2 linked regions of the Lonchura striata genome follow. The protein of the gene in region 2 interacts with the protein of the main gene of each other region in a biochemical or structural test. Links are inferred from orthologs where the notes say so. Each region holds a gene or a part of one and is shown on either strand. Other genes may lie near its edges.

Region 1 (10,060 bases), on a different chromosome or scaffold from region 2:
TGTGTCTCTTGGGATGTCACCTCCCACAGGGGGCATTCTGGAAGACACCTGGAGGACTGATAGAGCCTGCATTTGGAGACAGCCCTGTTCAAAGGGCTCTGCCACTCCCACCTTCCCAGTATGGACAGCTTGGTGTCCCAGTGATCTGGGAGAGGTACTGGGTTTCTGTCCTCCCCATGCAGATTGCCTTTTGGGAAGGGAGGCTCCATTCAGGGAAGGGGTACTGCTTGGAAAACAGACCCTGGCTCCAGTTCATCTCATGTAATCCTGTTATTTGAACAGGTGTTTCCGAGAGCAAGGAAATACTTGGTTGGTGGCTTGATCTTTAGGTGCACATTTTTGTGTAAAGGGCCACAAGCAGAATAAGGATGAGGGTTACTCTGGCAGGTGGCTGGGAGGGGGTAGAAATGCTAAGGCAGGGATAGGAGACAAACAACTTACAACATATGGCTTTCCTCTGTGTTCTTTTGCCAGTGCTGATGGGGTCCCATTCCTCATGCATGACGAGGAACTCACCAGGACCACCAATGTGCAGGCTGTGTTTCCTGAGAGGGCTGCCCTGAACAGCACTGCCTTCAACTGGACAGACCTCCAGCGGCTAGATGCTGGCAGCTGGTTTCTGGAGGTCAGGAATGTCCTTAGGGTGGTTGGTTTTTTGGGTGAAGCATTAGCCCTGCCCTGGGACTCCAGCATCTTTCCTGGTCCTAGCAGACACATGGACAGGGTCCAGAAGCCTGCACAAATCCCTTGGGTGCAGTTATGCCCCAAGCTGCAGTTTGTTCTGACTCCTCAGCTGAGTCATGGAGGAGGCTGCTTTGAGAGGGGATGTCTCATATTTGCTCTGAGCACAACCTGCCTGGGCTTGAAGGCAGCTGTGGCCAGACTCTTCCCAAAAGATGACTAACTACTGCTGAGCAGCTTTGAATGCCCACAGGTGTTGGGGCTGCTTGAATTCTGCTGTTAGTGGGGAGAAGGGTGCAGGTCCATGGATGTGCTTAGGGAGGTTCTCTGTGCCCGTCTGCACTGGAGAGCAAGTGGAGAGGCCAGTGTTGGAAACTGAGAATCAGAGACTGGGAGTCCCCCAGGCACCAGTTTGGGATGTGGAAGCTGACAGGTGGTCTGCCTGCGATGACTGCCCCCATCTCACCCTTGCAGCGGAGGCCATTTCCCACTGTGCAGAGTCTTTCTCCTGGAGATCGCAAGGAGGCAGCTGAACAGAGGATCCCATCCCTGGAACAGGCTCTAGAGGCAGCCAAGCAGAGCAACATCTCCATCATGTTTGACCTTCGGCCTGAGAACCACAGTGACTACCAGAACTTTGTCAATGTCACCCTAGGAGTGATTTTACAGTCAGGCATCCCGCTGCAGCAGGTGAGCTGGTCACCACCCCACCCCTGCCAGGCCTTGCTGTCACACCCCTGCTGTGGTGGGAGGTGCCCTGCCAGCCACACTGACCATCCCTGACACCCCATACACCCTGTCCCCATACGTGATCCCTGCTGGGCAGCCCTGCCCAGGTGTGGGGTTTTCTAGCTGGGAGAAGTTGCCAATAATTAGGGTTTAATGCCTATGGCTTCAGACCCCTCAAAATACTTCAGACCCCTCCAAATACTTTGGTTTCCCAGCACTGGCCAGCCTGGTGTGTAAGCAATGACTCAGGCGAGGGAGGAGACCAGCACTGCCAGCATGAGCAGGAATACAATGCTGAAGCTTTCACCTCCCCACACTCCACCACACCTCTCCCTGCAGCTCTTGGACTCCTGCTGAACTCTCCTGTGTTCCTTTATGCTTCATCCAACCCCTGCAGCACAGGATATCTGCTGCCTCAGGGGACAAATCAGCACTCAAATCACGTTTCTTGGCCTTTTGGGAATGCAGAGCAGGAGGAGACATAAAAATGACTACTTATATAGTGGTGATCCAAGGTGCATTCTTGCTGCAGAGCTGGGGATAAATGAATTCACTTCTTGAGCCATTCAAGGACCCAAAGAGGACTTAACTGTTGCAGATTTCCTAAGCTAGAATTGCTTTCCCCCTTCAGTGGGACCTCTGCTTACTTCCTGGCTGGGGCAAGCTCTTAGGAGACTGTCCTGGCTGAGATCCTCATGGAAGAGCTGAGTGTGGAGACCGGGGGCAGGAAGCAGCTGTCTAAGCAGGCCATGTGGGCCTGGACCTGTGAGGGAATATTGGAAGAGAGCCCACTCTCTGGAGCAGCTCTCCTCTGCACATGCTCTCTGGCTCTCGCCTAGGTCCTCTGGCTTCCAGATGGGTTCAGGGAAGATGTCAAACAGCAGGCCCCAGGTGTCCAGCATGTCTACGGTCGGAAGAGGTCTGAGAATGAGAAGGAGGCAGTACTGCGCATCAATCTTCCCTACCAGGACATGAGCTCTGAGGAGATCAGGTGAAAACGCTTTGTCCAAGTGCCTGGGAGCTGTGAGGGTCTCAGGACTGTCCCAGGGGGCAGCAGAGGTGAGGGTACTGAGTACTGGTGTGCTTCTGGGAACAGCTGGGAGTGTGCCTTGTGAACAAGTGTCCCTATCAGCCAGGGCTGTCGCAGAGGATGCAGCTGGCTGCAGTCCTCAGACCCTGCCAGCAAATCTGCCCTCAGTCTGGATCTCCAGATAGTTGTTCCATGTGGCTGCAAATGCTGGATCATATCCCAAATGTACAGCCCCCTCTGGCTGTGCAGAGTGTGGTGGTGCCCTGCTGTCTGCTATTCTGATCACGGCTGTCCCCATGCAGGCAGTACCGCCAGGAGAACATCTCTGTCAACTTATATGTGGTGAACCAGCCCTGGCTCTTCTCCGTGCTTTGGTGTTCAGGGGTGAGCTCTGTCACCACCAACGCCTGCCAGGTGCTGAAGGAGATGAAACACCCCATCTGGCTTCTGGTAAGTGACCCCTCCATCCTTCACCCTGCCCACAGCCCTGTGTCCTAGACACTTGTGGGTCCCTTTCTGCAGCAGCCCTGTGCAGCTGCCTGGAGGGTGACTTCTGCTCACTGCTGGCATGGGAGCATGCGACCCTGTAGAAGGAACTGGTGGCACAGCAGGCAGGGCTGTGCCACAGCACAGCACCCCAGCTGGCGTTCAGTGGCTCGTCTCATTGCCTTGCAGCCCAGCAGCACGTACTTCATGATCTGGATCGTTGTAGACTGCGTTTCCTTCCTTATCATCATCTGGGCTTTTTTCTTGATGAAGTAGGTCTGATCCCTTTCCCCTCTTGAGGCAGGTCTGTTGGGGGAGGTTGCAGTGTGCCCTGGGTGGCTGATGCAGACCCAAAACTGCTGCCACTCCTCTCTGGATTCAGATACTGGGGGTGTCCTCTTGTGTCTGGCTAAGTAAAACAGAAGAGTGTGGGGGTAGCTTTTATCTCCAAGCTGCAGCTAAAAGTCTGCCCTGACCCTGCCTCAGGTTGCTGGATGCCTTAGTTCACACTTGCTAGCCCACTCTGCACCCCAGGGCTTGGTGGGTTGAAGCTGGGAGATCCTGGTCCTGCTCCTTTTTTCCAGTGCTGCAGGCACTGAGAGCAGTTCCCTCTGGGACTGAGGGGCCTCACAGCCTCCAGCTGGCAGCTCAGGGGAGGGAATGGTGAGACCAGACTTGCATGCTAACATCGATCCTATTCCGTCTCCTAGGAAATGTTCCCACAGAAGACGGCCAGCGGGTGAGTGCACACGGAAGGGGAGCTTCCCTCCCTTGGAGCCAGGCTCTGCCTGTGGGACTCTCCCTGACAGGCAGGCAGCTTTCTCCAGCCAAACGTGATGGAATGGTTTGGCATGGCTGGGGGAGGGAAGGGAATCCCAGCTCAGGGAGTTTCTCCTGTCCTGCCATTAACAAGTAGCCCTGTGGGACAGCACTAGGGAATCCCACATTTCCCGAATATCCTCAAACCTGCTTTTTAGGCTACTTTGCCTGTCGATGTGGGATGGTGGCTGCCCACAATGACTGTTTTTTTCTGTCTCCTCAGAGTCTGAGACAGATGTGCTGCTCACAAAGATCAACAGCTTGATGCAAGAGTAACGCCTGTGTCAGCTGTGGGGAAAGGCAGCCAGAGCCCTGCACAGCTCAAGCGGGGAGCACTCCTCAGGCCACTGCAAGGCTCCTTTCCTTCGAGCCTCACTTCTACCGTGGTGTTCGTGGTTCCTTTCATGGTGCACAGCCGCCCTCATCTGAAAAGACTTGGAACTGAGTTTTCATTGCCAAGCTAGCAGCAAGGAACTAAAGCTTTGCAGGGGTGGCCTAGGGGAAGAATATTTATCCAGCAGTACTGGAGCTGAGACCTCTCCCATGAGGTTTGGACAGGAGCGGGGATTTGGGTCACTCTTTGGTGGAGGGGAAGGGCTGTCTCTGCCTGTTGTCAGCAGCTCTGCAGCCAGGGATGAGACACCTGGCTTAAGGACTGTTCCCCTAGGGGCTGCCCTATCCCATGGCTTGAGGAATAGAAAGGGAATAGGGTGGATGTGGATGTGTAGTGGCTTTTCAAAAGACAAAGGGAATGCCGAGCTCTTCACCCTCTCATCCTGGACATAAAATCCTTTCCCTACTGCTGCTGCCTTCATCTTCACAGGACAGGGTCCTGGCACTCCATGCAGCAGTTAATGCCTGTTGCTCGGGAAACAAAAGGATCGGGGCTGGGGGTGGTGGGTGTCAGGAGCTGGCAGGACCGTGCTCACGCTCCTGCTGCTGCTCACGTTGCAGCAGGGCCTTGAGCAGGGAGATGGGTATCGTATCGGTTTGACTTGCTGCTGTCTATTTATGTCAATAAAGCAGAGGAGCGGCAGACCGATCCTGAAGGGGTGCGGCGGGCACGCCTGCGTCCTCCCTTCCGCACCTTTCCCTGCCGGCGGCGCTGCCGGCCCGGAGAAGGAGCCGGCGCAGCCCGGACGGTACCGGCCCGAGGCGGGCTCGCTCCGCGGCGCCTCCGTGCCACCTACTGCCGGCGGGGAGCCGGGCGGGCGGCCGGGCCCTCCGCAGCGGGCAGGGAGGCGAGGCGGAGCCGGGCGCGGCTCGCGGGGCGCAGGCTGAGCCCGCCCGCAGCCCGGCGGGCTCCGAGCGGAGCCGCGGGGCAGGGCGGCGGTGGCGGGGCGCTCCCGGAGGCGGTGCCTGCGGCCGGGGGGCGGCTCCCGGGCGGGGCGCGGCGGCTCGGCCGCTCGCGGGCTGGCACGGAGCGGAGCGGCCGTCGGCCACGGCGGAGCGATGATCCGCCGGGAAGGTAAGGAACGCACTCCCCGGCCCTGCCCGCCGCGCCGGGGCACCGCGGCCCCGCGCTCAACAAGTGTCTGCCCCGCTGGGACCGCGCCCGCTGCTCCGCGCTCCTGCCTGGCAGCTCCCGCCCTCGCTCCGCACCACGGGCGGCCGTGCGACCCGGGAGTTAAGATCCGACGACTGGGCGCTCTCGCTCCACGCCCTCCTCGGCCTGTGGACACGTTGTGCTGCCGTGTCTCAGAGTGGGTGGCCGCGAGATGCTCTGCTTGCAGATCCCTTGCGTGCTGCGGGGAGGAGAGCGGCCATGGGGGTTTAGGTTCTGCGAGAAGGGATTTTCTGTACGTGGGACTTGCGTGCACCTTGAGGCACGTGGACATGGGCCCTGGACACCGTGTGCTATTTCTTGGGAGCTGTAGGAACGGTCCTGCGGTCTCCCTGCCACGCTGGGTGCGCAGCACTTCCCCAGATCGGGAGCCCGCAGTCCCCTGCTCCGGCTGGCTGTCACCGGGTGCGGGTGGCCAGCAGCACAGAGGTCAGCGCGGTGCCTGCCACTCTTGCTGCACAGTGGAAAGTTTACCAGGTTCGCAGTCTTTGTGTCCTGGTGTGGTGGCCCCCAGCTCTCCATCTGCTTCTTTAGTTCTGCTGATAAGGTCAGGAATGACCAGGCAGTGATATCTCAGCCCTGCTCATGGTATGCTAGGCAGTGTTTGAAGCCACTGTTTCACCATGCAGAAAAGGAAGCTCTTAGTAATAGCACAAGTCTAGGATTGCCGTAAAGCCATCAAGGAAGTCCATGCTTTTCCTGGAGTAAGTGTGGAGCCCAGCTCCAAGTCAGAGCTGTTCATGCTTCCCCAGACTCCTTTCCCTGGTTCAGGTCCCACGATGAGTCAGTGTGGGCTGGTGACACCAGCAGTAGGACCCCCTTTTCTTTTCAGCCGAGGAGAAGCTAGAAGGCTGGGTGAGTTGGGATACCGGGTGGAACATACCCAAGCAGACACAGGCCCCCTTGTTTGATGACCTGAATTCTCAAGAGCCCTCTAATGAGCAGGGTCATCCTTTCTGCATGAGTTCCTGGCTTCAAAGATGAGTCTCCAGCAGTGGCGGGACAGCTTCCCTGCCTTCTCACACAGACACTCTTTGTCTGCAGTCTGCCTGGGTGACAAAGTGAATTAAGTAATCACTGATGGGACAGGGATAGTCTGAAGGTCCACAGGAGCTCACTACCTGCCTGAGGTATGGGTCACATCTGAGGTCGAGGCTGCACTGGCTGTCTGCCCAGAGAAGTGTGGAGGTGTCCAGGTGGGGAGATCACAGCTGCACTATTTTAGGTCCAGGGTTTTCTGATAGCTGTCATTAACCAAAATGTTGCTTCATGGCAGCTTCCAGTTCTCCTCCTCACCAGCATCTCCTCTGACCGCAAGGCATTGTATTCCTTTCCCATTTGTCTCCTGCTGACCCACAGCTGCTTTCTGCTTTGAGCAATTCTTATGCTTCACCCTGTAGAAACCCAAGTTTTGCCACTCCTGTAGCTGAGCTGTTTGCACTGTGAATGGGCCTATGCTCAGTTTTGCTGCAGCCATCTGGCCCTGTGTGGGAGGCTGCAGTTCCTGCAGTAGTATTCATAGCCCTGTGCAACCAGAATGTGTCCAGCTCCTGAACAGATTCCTTGTCTGGGAGGTGGCAGAGGTGTTCAGGCTGCCCAGTGTCACAAGGTTCAGAGTTGAGTCAATCTGATTTTAGCCCCTGATTTTCAGGGTTGGTGGCAGAACTAACTTTTCCTTCAGTCCCTGCTCAGGTCTCTGCAGGCAGCCCTCAATGGCTCTCAGCAGGGTTAGCTTTCCCAGGTGTGTGTAAGGAAGTCTGCTTTTGTGGCTGTCGGACTTCTAAAAATCCAGACTGGAAGGCAGCTTGAGGCATAATCCCAGGCTGCACTCAAGCCTTCCCTTAGCATCCTGCAATGTTAATGCCTTGTTACTCCTGTGTCATCTCTGCAGACACTGAACGGGCAGTGGAAATTCTGACCAGATACCAAAGCACCCTGCAGTCCCCGGAGGAGCAGGAGTTAAAAGCTTCCATTGGAAAAGTTTCGCACATCTTCCAAAGTGAACTCTTCCAGGCTCTGCTGGGTAAGCCCCTGCCTTGCAGTCCCTTGCAGTCCTTGCAACCTTGTGTTTAGTGGGGTTTCCCGGGAGCCTGATCCCATGCCGGTGCCTGGCACTGACCAGTGCATTCTGTGGAAACACATGGCGTGTAATGCCAGGGAGCTGGGCTGTCTTTCCCCTCCAGGGCTTAGGCAGGAGATACCAGGGCTGTGATCACTGGGTGTTTGTAGAGAACAGCATTCCTCAGTCTGATTGAGGGCAAGGGGTAACACCTTCTTGATCAGGCCATGCCTGATCTATCCAGCACCTGCTAAGGGATCCTGCCCTGCTGCAAGCACTCTCCCTGCAGTGCAGCCCAGGTGTGTCCAGGAAGGAAAACGAAATTTTTCTGTCTTTAAGAGAGAACCCACAGGTACCCAAGCTCTTTTGGGGAATTCTGTCCTTTCTTGTGTTTAGACCCACCAACACTTACGAGAAACACACTGTTCCAGCAGTTCCATTTCACACAAGACTTAAGAGCAAGGCTTATCTTGGGGCTGGACACCAGAAAATGGCATTTTGAGCACTGTATAAAGTTCTCCATGAGGACTGAGACTAATGCAGCTGAAGTCTTTCAGGACTACGCAGCTTCTCTGTGCAAGACACACAGCTATCTTGCTATTCTTAAGTTCTGTTCACTGTGGGCCGTGGGAAACATGCAGCCTTGGTGGTTTCTGTTCCTGGATCTCCTGGGAAAGAAGCTGAGTTTCCCTGGTGGGAAGGGAAAGCATCCCAGAGGCTCTGCACTCTTAGAAGAAGACCCAGGCCCCAAGGTGCAGAGCTCCACATGTGGTCTGTGGCTCACTCTCAGTGCATTTTGACCCAAGGCTGTCCCAGCCCTGGTGCTTCCCCTTGCTGCTCTCTTGAGGCTCTTACCTTTTCTTCACACCTCTGCAGCCTGAGTTCCACTTCTGTGCCTGCAGAGGTGAGTTGCCAGCAGCTCCTCTGTGCTTCAGGCTTTCCATTGAGGATGAAGTTGAATGCTGTGTCCTGAGCAATTTTATTCTGTCCTTTTTTTCTCTTTTGCTGCTGGAGCATCATCTGGAGACCTTCAGTTCCCAACATGTCCTTTTAAAGTCTTTGTGCTGGAATGTCTATACCAGCAGCAGCACAGGCATGTGCCAAGGGTGGACTCCCTGGAGCAGGTAGGCCCCCATACTGAAGGAGCCAGTGTACATCTCCTTTCTTATCTCTTAATTTATACAATCCACTCTCTAAATTATCTCCAGCCGGAGGCAGGGATCCCAAGCAGGGCTGTGACCTTGACCAACCTGACATTAGCCCAACACCCCTGGCTGCTTTTGTGTGCTGGCCAGTCCTCCCTGGGGCTATGTGAAGGCAGTGAGACAGCTTTCCCAAAGCCCAGGGCTGTTGCTGTTAGTGCAGAAGTGCTGTGGTGAGACTGTGGCTGCAGAGAACACAAGCTGGCTGCAGCTGCACACCGGCAGGCAGATGCTGCAGCGTCCCCAGCTCCCTGCTCTCAGCCACTTGTCTTGGTGTCCTATCAGCCCTGGCACGAAGGAGTGTTGGGAGTGCCGCTTGTTTACTGGTGACCTCTTCAACTGGTTTAACAGGATATTAATTCCCTGTGCCAGAGCGAGCCTTTCTCTAGATGTGTTTACCTAAACTAGGAATTTGCACTAATTATTTCCGCCCCCCCCCCCCCCCTTGACTGCCTCCCCCTGCTTCCCCTTGGAGTGTAGGTTTGTGAATGTCTCTGTCCCAGCATGGACATTGTCTGGCTGTGTGCTCGCTGTGGCTGCACACAGCTGGCACACACTGGGCTGCTTTGTGTCCACGGTCTGTACCCACTGGAGCACAGTAACAGCACTGCAAGGGTGATAGAACGTTTCTATTTTCATTTTTATTTTCACCCCTCCTTTTCCCAGTGGGCCTCTGTGTCTCTGTCTGAAGTCTGCTCCGAGTCACAGGGCTGGCTCAGTGTGGAAGGAGGATTTGCAGGAGAGCACACACACTGCTTAGTGTAGAACTCCCATCTCACTGCCACACACCATGCCAGAAGCTTCTGGCTCTGAAGAGGCCTTAGCCTGCAGAGTCCCTCCTTTTGCAGCCTTTCAGCAACACAGCCCTGTTTTTTTCTGCCTCTGGGAAAGGTGAATGTGTGAGCATGGTCCATCCCTGTCCTCAGGCCACCTGCTCCTGCAGGTGATGCCGTCCTAGAGCACACAGTCTGATTGGAGTTAGAACATCAAAATACATCAGGCCATAGTAGAGCTACCAGCGGTGCCAAATGTCATGGAGCTTGCCAAGTTAATCCACGTGAAAAATGCCAGGGATATGACTTTCTCTATGCTTTTTTTTTTTAAAGAAGAAGCTGGTTTGGGGTCTCCAGAAGCCCCAACCTCTGTTATGTCCAGGACATGTCAGTGTTTTGCTGGATGGATCAGTCACTGTGATCATGCCCAGTGTTGCTCTGCACATGCACCGTGTTCTGCCAGACTCCTCTGAGCATGGCCCAGCCCTTTAAATCCTTGTGACCACCTCCCAGTCCCTGGAGCTGGCTGTGCCGGGGGCACACTGCCGGTGCCAGGACAGCCCCTGTCCTGGCGGCGGTGCGGGAGCTGCTCTGCACTGGAATGTGCCAAACCCTGCTCCTCACAAAAGAAATTCCTTGGCTGTGCAGAGGGAAAACAGGCTGTGCTGGCTCCCTTCTCCTGGCCCCTCTCTCCCTGTCTGAGGCTGTGGAGCCAAG
Region 2 (8,882 bases):
TTCTGCTGTTGTAGCCAATGCAGAACTGACTTCAGCAAATGGTCAATGATGCCAGTGCCAAGTGCCCTTTCCTGAATGCAACAGCCAGTTTAAAATTCATGTAATTAGGCACAATTTAGATTGTTTTTCCACTTTTCCACAGTATGCATCACCTTACATTCAAATATACTAATTCTCATCTGACACCCTATCAACATGGTATCTGCTAGCATGGAGAATTGTCATTTCCAGACTGTTGATAGAGACACTGGATAAATCTAATCTGAGTGCCAAACCCTAGAGGACTCCATTGCTTATTTATTGAGCTCCCACTTTGCTTCCTACACTTCAGCCAGGCTTTCAGCCCACAAATGAATGTGCCTTCCAGCTGTCTGGCAACTTTGATACTTAAGAAACTTAAGAAAGGTACTTTGTTGCAGAGCTATGTCGAAGGCTTTGACAAATGCAATTCTAAATACACAGGTATCACAGAATCATAGAATGGTTTGAGTGGGAAGGGATTTTAGAGATCATCTCATTTGAAGCCTCCTGCCATGGGTAGGGACACCTTCCACTAGACCAGCTTGCTTAAATCCCATCCAACTTGGCCTTGAACTCTGCCAGGGATTCCATTCCCCTTTGTCCTATTGCCACATGCCCTTGTGAAAAATCTCTCTGAAACTCTGGTGTAGGGCCCCTTCATGTACTGGAACATGCTTTAAGTTCTCTCTGGGGTCTTCTCTTCTCCAGGATGAACAGCCCCATCTCTCTCATCCTGTCTTCACAGAAGATGTGCTCCAGCCCTCTAGCCATTTGCATGGTTCTGCCCTGGGCCATCTCCATGATGTTCTTATGTCAAGGTTTCAGAGCTGAATGCAGTGCTCAGGTGGGGTCTCACAAGAGTGAAGTAGAGAAGAAAATCTGCCTTGGCTAGATATATATATATATATATATATGTGTGTGTATATATATATGTGTGTGTGTGTGTGTGTGTGTATATATATGTATATATATATCAAACGACCACTGGGTCTCCTTCATCCATTGTCATCACAGCCCTGCAGTGGGTAAGCCAAACAGGATCTCCCTTTTCAGAAAACATAATGACTTTTTCTCAGCAGACTGGCATTGCAATGAGCTCAGTGCCTTCATTCTTCATTACAGATGCCCCCAAAATGTCCCAGAGGCGGAAATCGGTCCTAGTGGTCAGTAGCTCCTAGGACTGATGACGAGCTTTGAGCAGCCTTATCAAGCCTTTCTGGTAAATGAGAGCTGCACTGATGACACATCAGTCCCCTGGCACAGTGCCTGATTGCAATGGTGGGTTACGTGCCTTGGCTGGCAGTCTCACAGTTGAGATCCTTTGGGATACTGATATGAGTGCCATCTGGTCTCAATTACTTTTTGGACTCTCACTTATCTAGTTGGTTTAATACTTCCTGCCCACATCTCTTGAGTGGAGCTGGCTCCTCTGTTCTTTTTACTGCACCAGCCCTGAAAATATCCCAACATCGTTGGTTGGGAAGAGTGAATTCCCTGAGTATTCCTGCTATGACTTAGTTTCTAAGAGATCTTTTGCCACCAAACTCCCCTGCTAGTTCCCAAGTGTTTTTTTCATCTTTCAGTAGGTTTACAAAACTTACTGTCAACACAGAACATCCTTTACCAGAAGCCCTTCACTATTTTTTTTTCTTTAATGCTCCTTGTTTCCTCTCCACATTTGATCTGTCATGATGCAGACTTTCCTGTTCTCCCCATATTGACAAGACTTCTGTTTTCCAAATGGAGATCTTTTCCTTTGAGTAGTCTTGGTAACTATTTTACTGATAGACATTTGACTCAATATTTCCTAAAATGCCTATTTCTTTTGGAATGTAGGCTTGTTGAATTTCCTGTTTGTTTTCACAGCCCCCAAATTTATGTAGGCTTCTTCCTTCTGGGACTGCTTCTCTGTCCCACGGTGCTGCTGAGCCCAGCTGTACTGTGATTAACAGTACAGACCTACCTCCACCAAAACCTGTGCAGCACTAAAGATCAGATGGCATCTTGTAGAGGTAGAATACCAAGGTAGAATGTCATCTTGTGTTGTGGATTTTTATTTTCAGGTCTAATTATTCTAGGAATCAGGAAGTCATTGCTTATGGACATAACATCTCATCCTGTTGCAGCATTGCATCTTTATAACAACGCTCCAAACCTCCTTCCATTGCTACCTGCTTTCTATCTTCTTACCCTTACTTAATGTGCTCTGGCAACTGTCATAAGGTAGTAAGGAGCTCGGTAGTGCATTCCTAGTAGCATATTTGTATTATTAGAATCTGCCTACAAGAACACTGTTGTGCTTCCCTTTAGCCACAATATTTTTACAGTGTTGTGAGTTATGTAGTCCCTCCTGCACAGTGCCACTCCTCCACCTGAGCATCCTACAGCATCATTACCATAAAGCTGGTAGCATGGCAACACAAGCTTCTATTGATTATCCTTTCTCCTGCAGGTCTCTGAGCTTTCCTTTGCACCAGGGTTTTGGTCTCATGCCAAGCCTGATGGATGCTCTGTCTCTTTTTCAGGTTTGAGATCAGTGCAGAATTACATGTGAGATTTGTTTTTGATCAGATGTTCAAGATAGCATGTTCCAGTCTATTGGATTTGTGGGTAGTTGGATCCTGGGCTTAAAATATGAGAGGTTTGAGGCATTTTTATTAGTTTAGTATATCCTTCAATTAAATAAATCTCCTCTTACTTTTGCTCTATCAGCCCCCCACCCGTCTTGCACACTCATCCATTTGTTAAGGATGTAAAATTCGCCTTAGGTGAGGAATGTCTTTCTGCTATCATCTTACCTAGAATTGCACTAAGATAAAAGGAAAAATATATATTCATAACAAATATGTTTAATTTATAATATAGATGTGTTTGTAATGAAAGATAAATATTTCTTTATAAAATCCTTGCTAATCAAGATGTAAATATTTTTAAAAGATTTCACAGAGATGAAGAAAAGATAAAAAACCCACCCAAACTCTACATCTAATCTACTCATGCAGCAGTTATTTCAGAAAAGGCTCCCTTTTTCTTTCTCAGCTGATTTTCTCTTTCTCATGCCAGGGAGATTGTCAGAGCCTCAGGACATGTGTCAGCTGCTTCCATTTGATAGCTTCCATCAGTGAAACTCATATATAGAAAAAATCTCCTGTTACAAAATTTTCTATAAGAGGAGTCTTGCAGTATCACTGAAGAGAGAATCCCATTTCAGTTTGTCTTTTTCTCTCCTTTTTTTTTTTTTTTTTTTTTTTTTTGAGGGCTGTTAGATCTTACTGCAAATTTCCCTTCTTTTGGGAGACACAGAAAATTCCTATAGGTCCAGTCTCTCACTCTTAACCCATCATGTTCATTCATGACCCAGGAGACCATCTGGACACTTTTTCTGAAAATGAAGTTTATGGTCTGTCCTCAGATAGATCATTCATTCTGTATATCAAGTAGCCATCTCCTAACCTTTGCTGGATAATAACAGTTCTTGGATTCAAGGAAGGATAAAATTCTCCCCTTATCCTCTGTGGTTGGTTGAGGTAGTCCCAAGTGAAATATATCTTTCACTTCACCTTCCCTTCCACATTGATCTGTGTGTCAAGACATAGCTAACAGGAGCATCTACAATGAAAAGTGCATGGGTCATTGTTGGCCCTGTACTGAGTGCAGGAACCATGGTGCTTTAGGAGCTTTCAGTTGACTGGTCTACAATTTCTTTCTCTTGGACATCCCATAACAGCTTGAAATTTAGGTGTTGGAATAACTTCGAGAGGAGTCTGAGGACTGATTTTCTTGCTAGGGTGAAGGATGCTGAATTTTCTCAATTGCACATGCACTATTCTACTCTTAGTCTTGGTCTAGCTGGAAAGAGAATTGAGGAACATTTGTGCAGTTAGAGTTAAAAACATCTTAAATGGCAGTTGTTGGCTAGATACCCTCAATATGAGGAGCCTTAGCTAAGTGCCTCAGGCCCTGTGCGTGTAGTGCTCTTCCCAGGATGCAGGGACCCAAGGGCTTTTCATCAACTGAATATTCATTGTCCCAGTCTCATCCTTCATCAGACAGCACTGGACACAAGCAATCACTCATACTACTGTGCAGGGTGTGAAATTTGTCCACAGTCCAAGTTCTTCAACCTCATTTGACTCCTCTACCTCACGGCTTTCACACACAAGAATGCTTTGACAGGTAGCAGATCCCTTTACTAATATTTCTTTTGTGTTTGGGGTTTCTAAAGGCAAGGATGCTTGGACCACAGGAAAACAGAATCAGAAGGGCTCTTCCCTTCACTGAACCTCAGGCTGTAATGTTTCCCTGAAAAATGGGGGGATCATACTCATTTTGGAGAAAAGCTGGTCTTTGATTTCATACAGAAAGTGTGTATATCAGACAGTTATTCCATAAAGAAAACCAAAACAATTAAATTTTGATTTAATTAGAATCCTTTGATTGTTAAAGATTTGTCTTGAAGAAGAATATATTTTCCATCTTCTTCGTGAAGAAAGAGGATCGCAAATGAGGAGGAGATGAACTTTAGGAACATGTGTTTAGTCAGTCCAGGGCTTTGCTGAGACCCAATATCCATGAAGTACTCTTTGGGAGCCCAGCCTGGGGTTGTGCTTCCCATGCTCCCCATCCCAGTGGGGCTGGATAGAAAGAAGCCTGCTGGGGCACATCTGTTTGCTATATTCAAGAGACTGGGACAGACTCTGAGACACAGCCCTGGAGATACAATGGCCTGCTCTGAACATAGCTCAGGCTTCCACATCATGGCTTCAGTTTGCAAATTAACTCCCATTTACAGCACACTGGGTAGCTGGGTGTTTGAAGTACCCAAATGTAAAGCCAAATTTACCCCTAAGGAGGCTTCACCTGTACAAATAAATTAGTTTCAAATTGTGAAGCTAGTGAGGTTCAGAATAAGAGATAGGATGCAGTTGTGTGCCATGGGCACATTATCACTCTCACTGGGGCAAATTAAAAGCTTCTTTTCCATGCATCTGAAAATGCCATGTAGTTGTGGTTTTCAGGCTAAAAATTTCCATGCCCCATCTTTAGAATATATTGGTATAATAAAGAGGGAATTGCTCCCACTGTCCAACAAGAAACAATACTGACACCTTCCTTTGAAAATACTACTAGCTGCAGGACAGCTGAGATAAAAAATCAAGAGTTCAGAAAATACACATTAATGACAGAAAAATATTATTATTTAGAGTGTATTAGTGGTGGGCAGTTTTGATTTTATTTGATTGAGTCATAGTCTCACAGAGGAAAAATGCCTCTCTCTGTGAGCACGGCCCATTTTCTCAGAGGCTATTTTCATTAGGGCTGCAAATGTAGGCTGCCCTGGAAGCTGCAGTGTGTGTGGATGACTGGTGCAGAAAGGCTGAGCACAAAAAAGGTTAAGAGAGTGGTACGTGGAGCAAAGGCTCCAAGAAAAGAGACATAGAAAGCCACCAGAAGCTAACAAGAAGAAATACACTGCATGGAGGAGGAAGTTAAAAAATGAATTGTGCATAATTAGCACAGTGTTTGCAAAGTGTTTAAGGTCAAAATGTCCTTAATTTTTACATGTATCAAAATACATGTGGTATTGCTCAGGAAATACTACCAAAAACATACCAGAAAAAATTTCCTGGTTCCAAAAGGCAGATTCAGTTCTTTTGGTTTCATTCCTTATTTGAAATGCAGGCCTAGCAGTTGACAGTGATTTCTTTTCTGATCAGGTTTTGATGTTTCCATGGTAGGTGACTAGGGACTCAAAACTTCCCTGCCACAAAATGGCTGACAGCAAGCTGGCTTGTTTTGCACAGCAAAGATCAGAGACTTGTCATTAAAACACACACACAGAACGTCTAAAAGCAGCACTTTTACAGGCTGAGAACAGAACCAGCTGCTGTAGTACTGAAACTCATTAGAGCTTACTTGGGGCTTTGTGTCTTGAGATGTGTATTTACTGGGACATCACAAGTAATTACTCATTAACGAGCCCTTACTTCCCACTGTCATCTGCATCTTGCAATTTCTGCCTTCAGTAAAACAGTCCCAAATAGCCAAACTCCCTGCCCAGCCTATAACCCAGCATTCACACCACTTCTTTTCCTTTTAGCAGAAAAATGGAGACGCTGGCTCGGACTATGAACATTTCCAAGGTGGCAGTAGATGGCAGCTTCACTAACAGCTCTTCCAACTGTACAATTGACGGTTTCAAACAAGTAATTTATCCCATCGTGTATCTCTTTATCTTCTTCCCGGGTGCTGTTGGAAACAGCCTCTCCATTTATGTTTTCTTCCAGACTTCGCAAAGGACCTCAGTAAACATTTACATGCAGAACTTGGCTATTTCAGACCTCATGTTTGTGAGCACTTTGCCCTTTCGGGCCTCATATTTCCTCTTGGGATCACGTTGGGTATTTGGTGACATCCTCTGCAGGATCATGACTTACACCTTGTACATGAATATGTACTGCAGCATTTATTTCCTCGCCGTGCTCAGCGTGGTTCGTTTTGTAGCCATCGTCCACCCATTCAAACACGGACAAGTGACCAACACGAAGTATGCCAGGATTACCTGTGCAGCCATATGGATCTTTGTGCTGGCAGCTGCCAGCCCTCTGTTAAACAAGGGAATCGCTGGCTACAGCAACCCAGTCAAATGCTTGGACCTCCACCCCCCCAGCACACACAGGCTCCTCATGATGAACAGCTTTGTCCTGGTCGTGGGCTTCATTCTGCCGTTCTGCACAATTTTGTTCTGCTATGTCTTTGCCATCAGAGCGCTGCTCAAGTCCAGGGCTCAGCGGAGCAGGAGGGCAATCTGTCACAGGAAGGCACTGTTAACCATTGTCATCACTCTCATCCTCTCCCTCATCTGTTTCCTGCCATACCATATCCTGCGCACTGTCCACCTGCTGTACAGCACCTGCAGCCAGGCCAGCCTGCACAAGGCGCTGGTGGTCACTCTCTGCCTCGCTGCCATGAACAGCTGCCTCGACCCTTTCCTCTATTACTTTGCTGCTGAAAATTTCAAAGCAAAAATCAGAAGTTTGTGCTGCAGATAGCTGGTGCAGAATTGCAAAACAATATACAGTCCTGATGGGATTTCTAGACTGGGCTCATACTATTCAATGACAGAAGCTGTGTGAGTGCTGCTGGCCAGCCTGCAGCTCTGCTGCTCACTCACTGTCAGGCATCTCTGAAGCAGAAGTCTCTGGGACAGAGGTCCTTATGGGTGACAAAACTGAGTCCAGATGATCTGAGGACAGGTGGCTGGGTATGATCCTTGGTTGACTTCTGTTTAGCAGTGTAGAGATACCTCTGTTGTTCACTCTCCCCAGGACAAGGCATTGAAAGGAATCCACCTTGCTACTGGAGTCCCATTATTTCATTTCACAATACTGAGCGACTTGAAAGGAACACTGCTCACCCGACCACTTCAGTGTCTGTGCCTGAACCTCTGAGCACTCCATTTCCCTGCATGTGCAGGGGTTCAGAGACTGTGATTACCTACACATTCACAGTACCCTGCCAGTTCTCCTTGCAAATACTGTCAAAGGGGTTGCACATTATAGAAATACAAAAGATCACTGATGCTTTCTACTGAGGCTGACTTAAAAAGCAGGAAGAGAGGCAAACAGGATCCATCACTGGCTCAGACTGCTCAGAAGTCGCTAACATTTCTAAATTTTCCACTCTGAGCCAGCCACCAAGGTATTCTGCTTAACATTTCATGGGTTGTCAAGGGAGAGAATGATTTCAAGCAAGTGGCATCGTCCTGGATTGTTGTGAGTAAGATGCCTGCTGGCAGTGTGGGCAGGACATGGGTGCCCAGAGCATTGGGCTGCATCCTGCAGCTCTTCATGTGGTGTCAGTTCCTTCAAGGTCATTGTAACACTTCTTTTTCATGCCCAGTGTTGCCAGTGCTTTTCACAAAGCTGAGGCTAAGCAGTTCCATTCCCATGCAGGGATCCAAAGACAAACTTTAAAAATTATTTTGGTCCAAAAAGGTTGTTAGGGAGTGGTTTCCTCTGCACAGGTAAATCAGTCTGACACCAAACAGCTGCCAAAGGCATTCCCAATTGTTCATCTTCAGTCTCATCTGAGGAGGAGAATGATCCCTTTTTTCATAGGATTAACTTCCTATTGGTTTGAATTTCCTACATCAAACATGAAAGAATGCAACAGGGAAGCACTAACCCAGGTACAGGAAGAAAGATGGGCAACAGAGACAGTGGAGGAGAGCTTTTTTAGAAAGCAATGGGAATCTACTCCTGTGGGTACTTTGGAAAATTTCATCAAATGGCTGTATATTTGTAAGTCTCTGAATATTTTCTAAAATATGCTTTCTAAAAATTAGACCTAAGAGAATACAGGCTCCAGACTCAGGCCATATTTAGATTTTGGGTTTAATTACATCATCTTTTACTAAAAACAGACAAGAAATTTAATCATATTTTCCAAGAAAGCAACTGGGCTTATATGAAAACTAACAAAAATGCTGAACGCCTTCCCTCACTGTGAAATTCAAACAAAGAAAGGTTTCTTTCTGTGAATATACTTCTCAATGCTCTGAACTTTGTATGGAGAAAGAACTCCATAAACTGAATGTTATTTCTCCCAAACAAAAATAACAGCAGCAAGCTATTTTTAGCTCTGAAATATGCAGAATACAAATCATTGCTGGTCAGGTGGAAAAGTACTTGGCAAATCACTGTAAAAGGCACATTTTTTTCTTGGCTATCTAAAGGTTATATTCAATCTGTTTCAGTCACTTGATGCTGCCTTTGATGCAAGTACAGAGTTTTATCAGAAGTCTTCACTAAAGATCATTCTTCAAATCCTTATTTCAATAATGCAGCAGCATACCGGAG

The links.
Region 1: the proteins of CYSLTR2 (region 2) and DLG3 interact in a test that uses a peptide from one of them, tested with the Homo sapiens proteins (2 studies listed by IntAct, with this or other methods). The link is inferred for Lonchura striata from reciprocal best matches to the Homo sapiens genes CYSLTR2 and DLG3.

What each region holds. Positions count from the first base shown.
Region 1 is NC_134616.1:19,277,901-19,287,960, reverse strand, and holds the start of DLG3 (disks large homolog 3), read left to right. Parts: upstream 1-5,121; 5' UTR 5,122-5,197; coding exon 5,198-5,213; intron 5,214-7,200; coding exon 7,201-7,332; intron 7,333-10,060. Other genes in the region: glycerophosphoinositol inositolphosphodiesterase GDPD2, read left to right, coding at 475-625, 1,156-1,371, 2,250-2,401, 2,743-2,890, 3,116-3,198, 3,637-3,665, 3,969-4,021. UniProt on the Homo sapiens protein: Required for learning most likely through its role in synaptic plasticity following NMDA receptor signaling.
Region 2 is NC_134604.1:62,133,852-62,142,733, forward strand, and holds CYSLTR2 (cysteinyl leukotriene receptor 2), read left to right. Parts: upstream 1-6,072; 5' UTR 6,073-6,128; coding exon 6,129-7,073; 3' UTR 7,074-7,171; downstream 7,172-8,882. UniProt on the Homo sapiens protein: Receptor for cysteinyl leukotrienes. The response is mediated via a G-protein that activates a phosphatidylinositol-calcium second messenger system.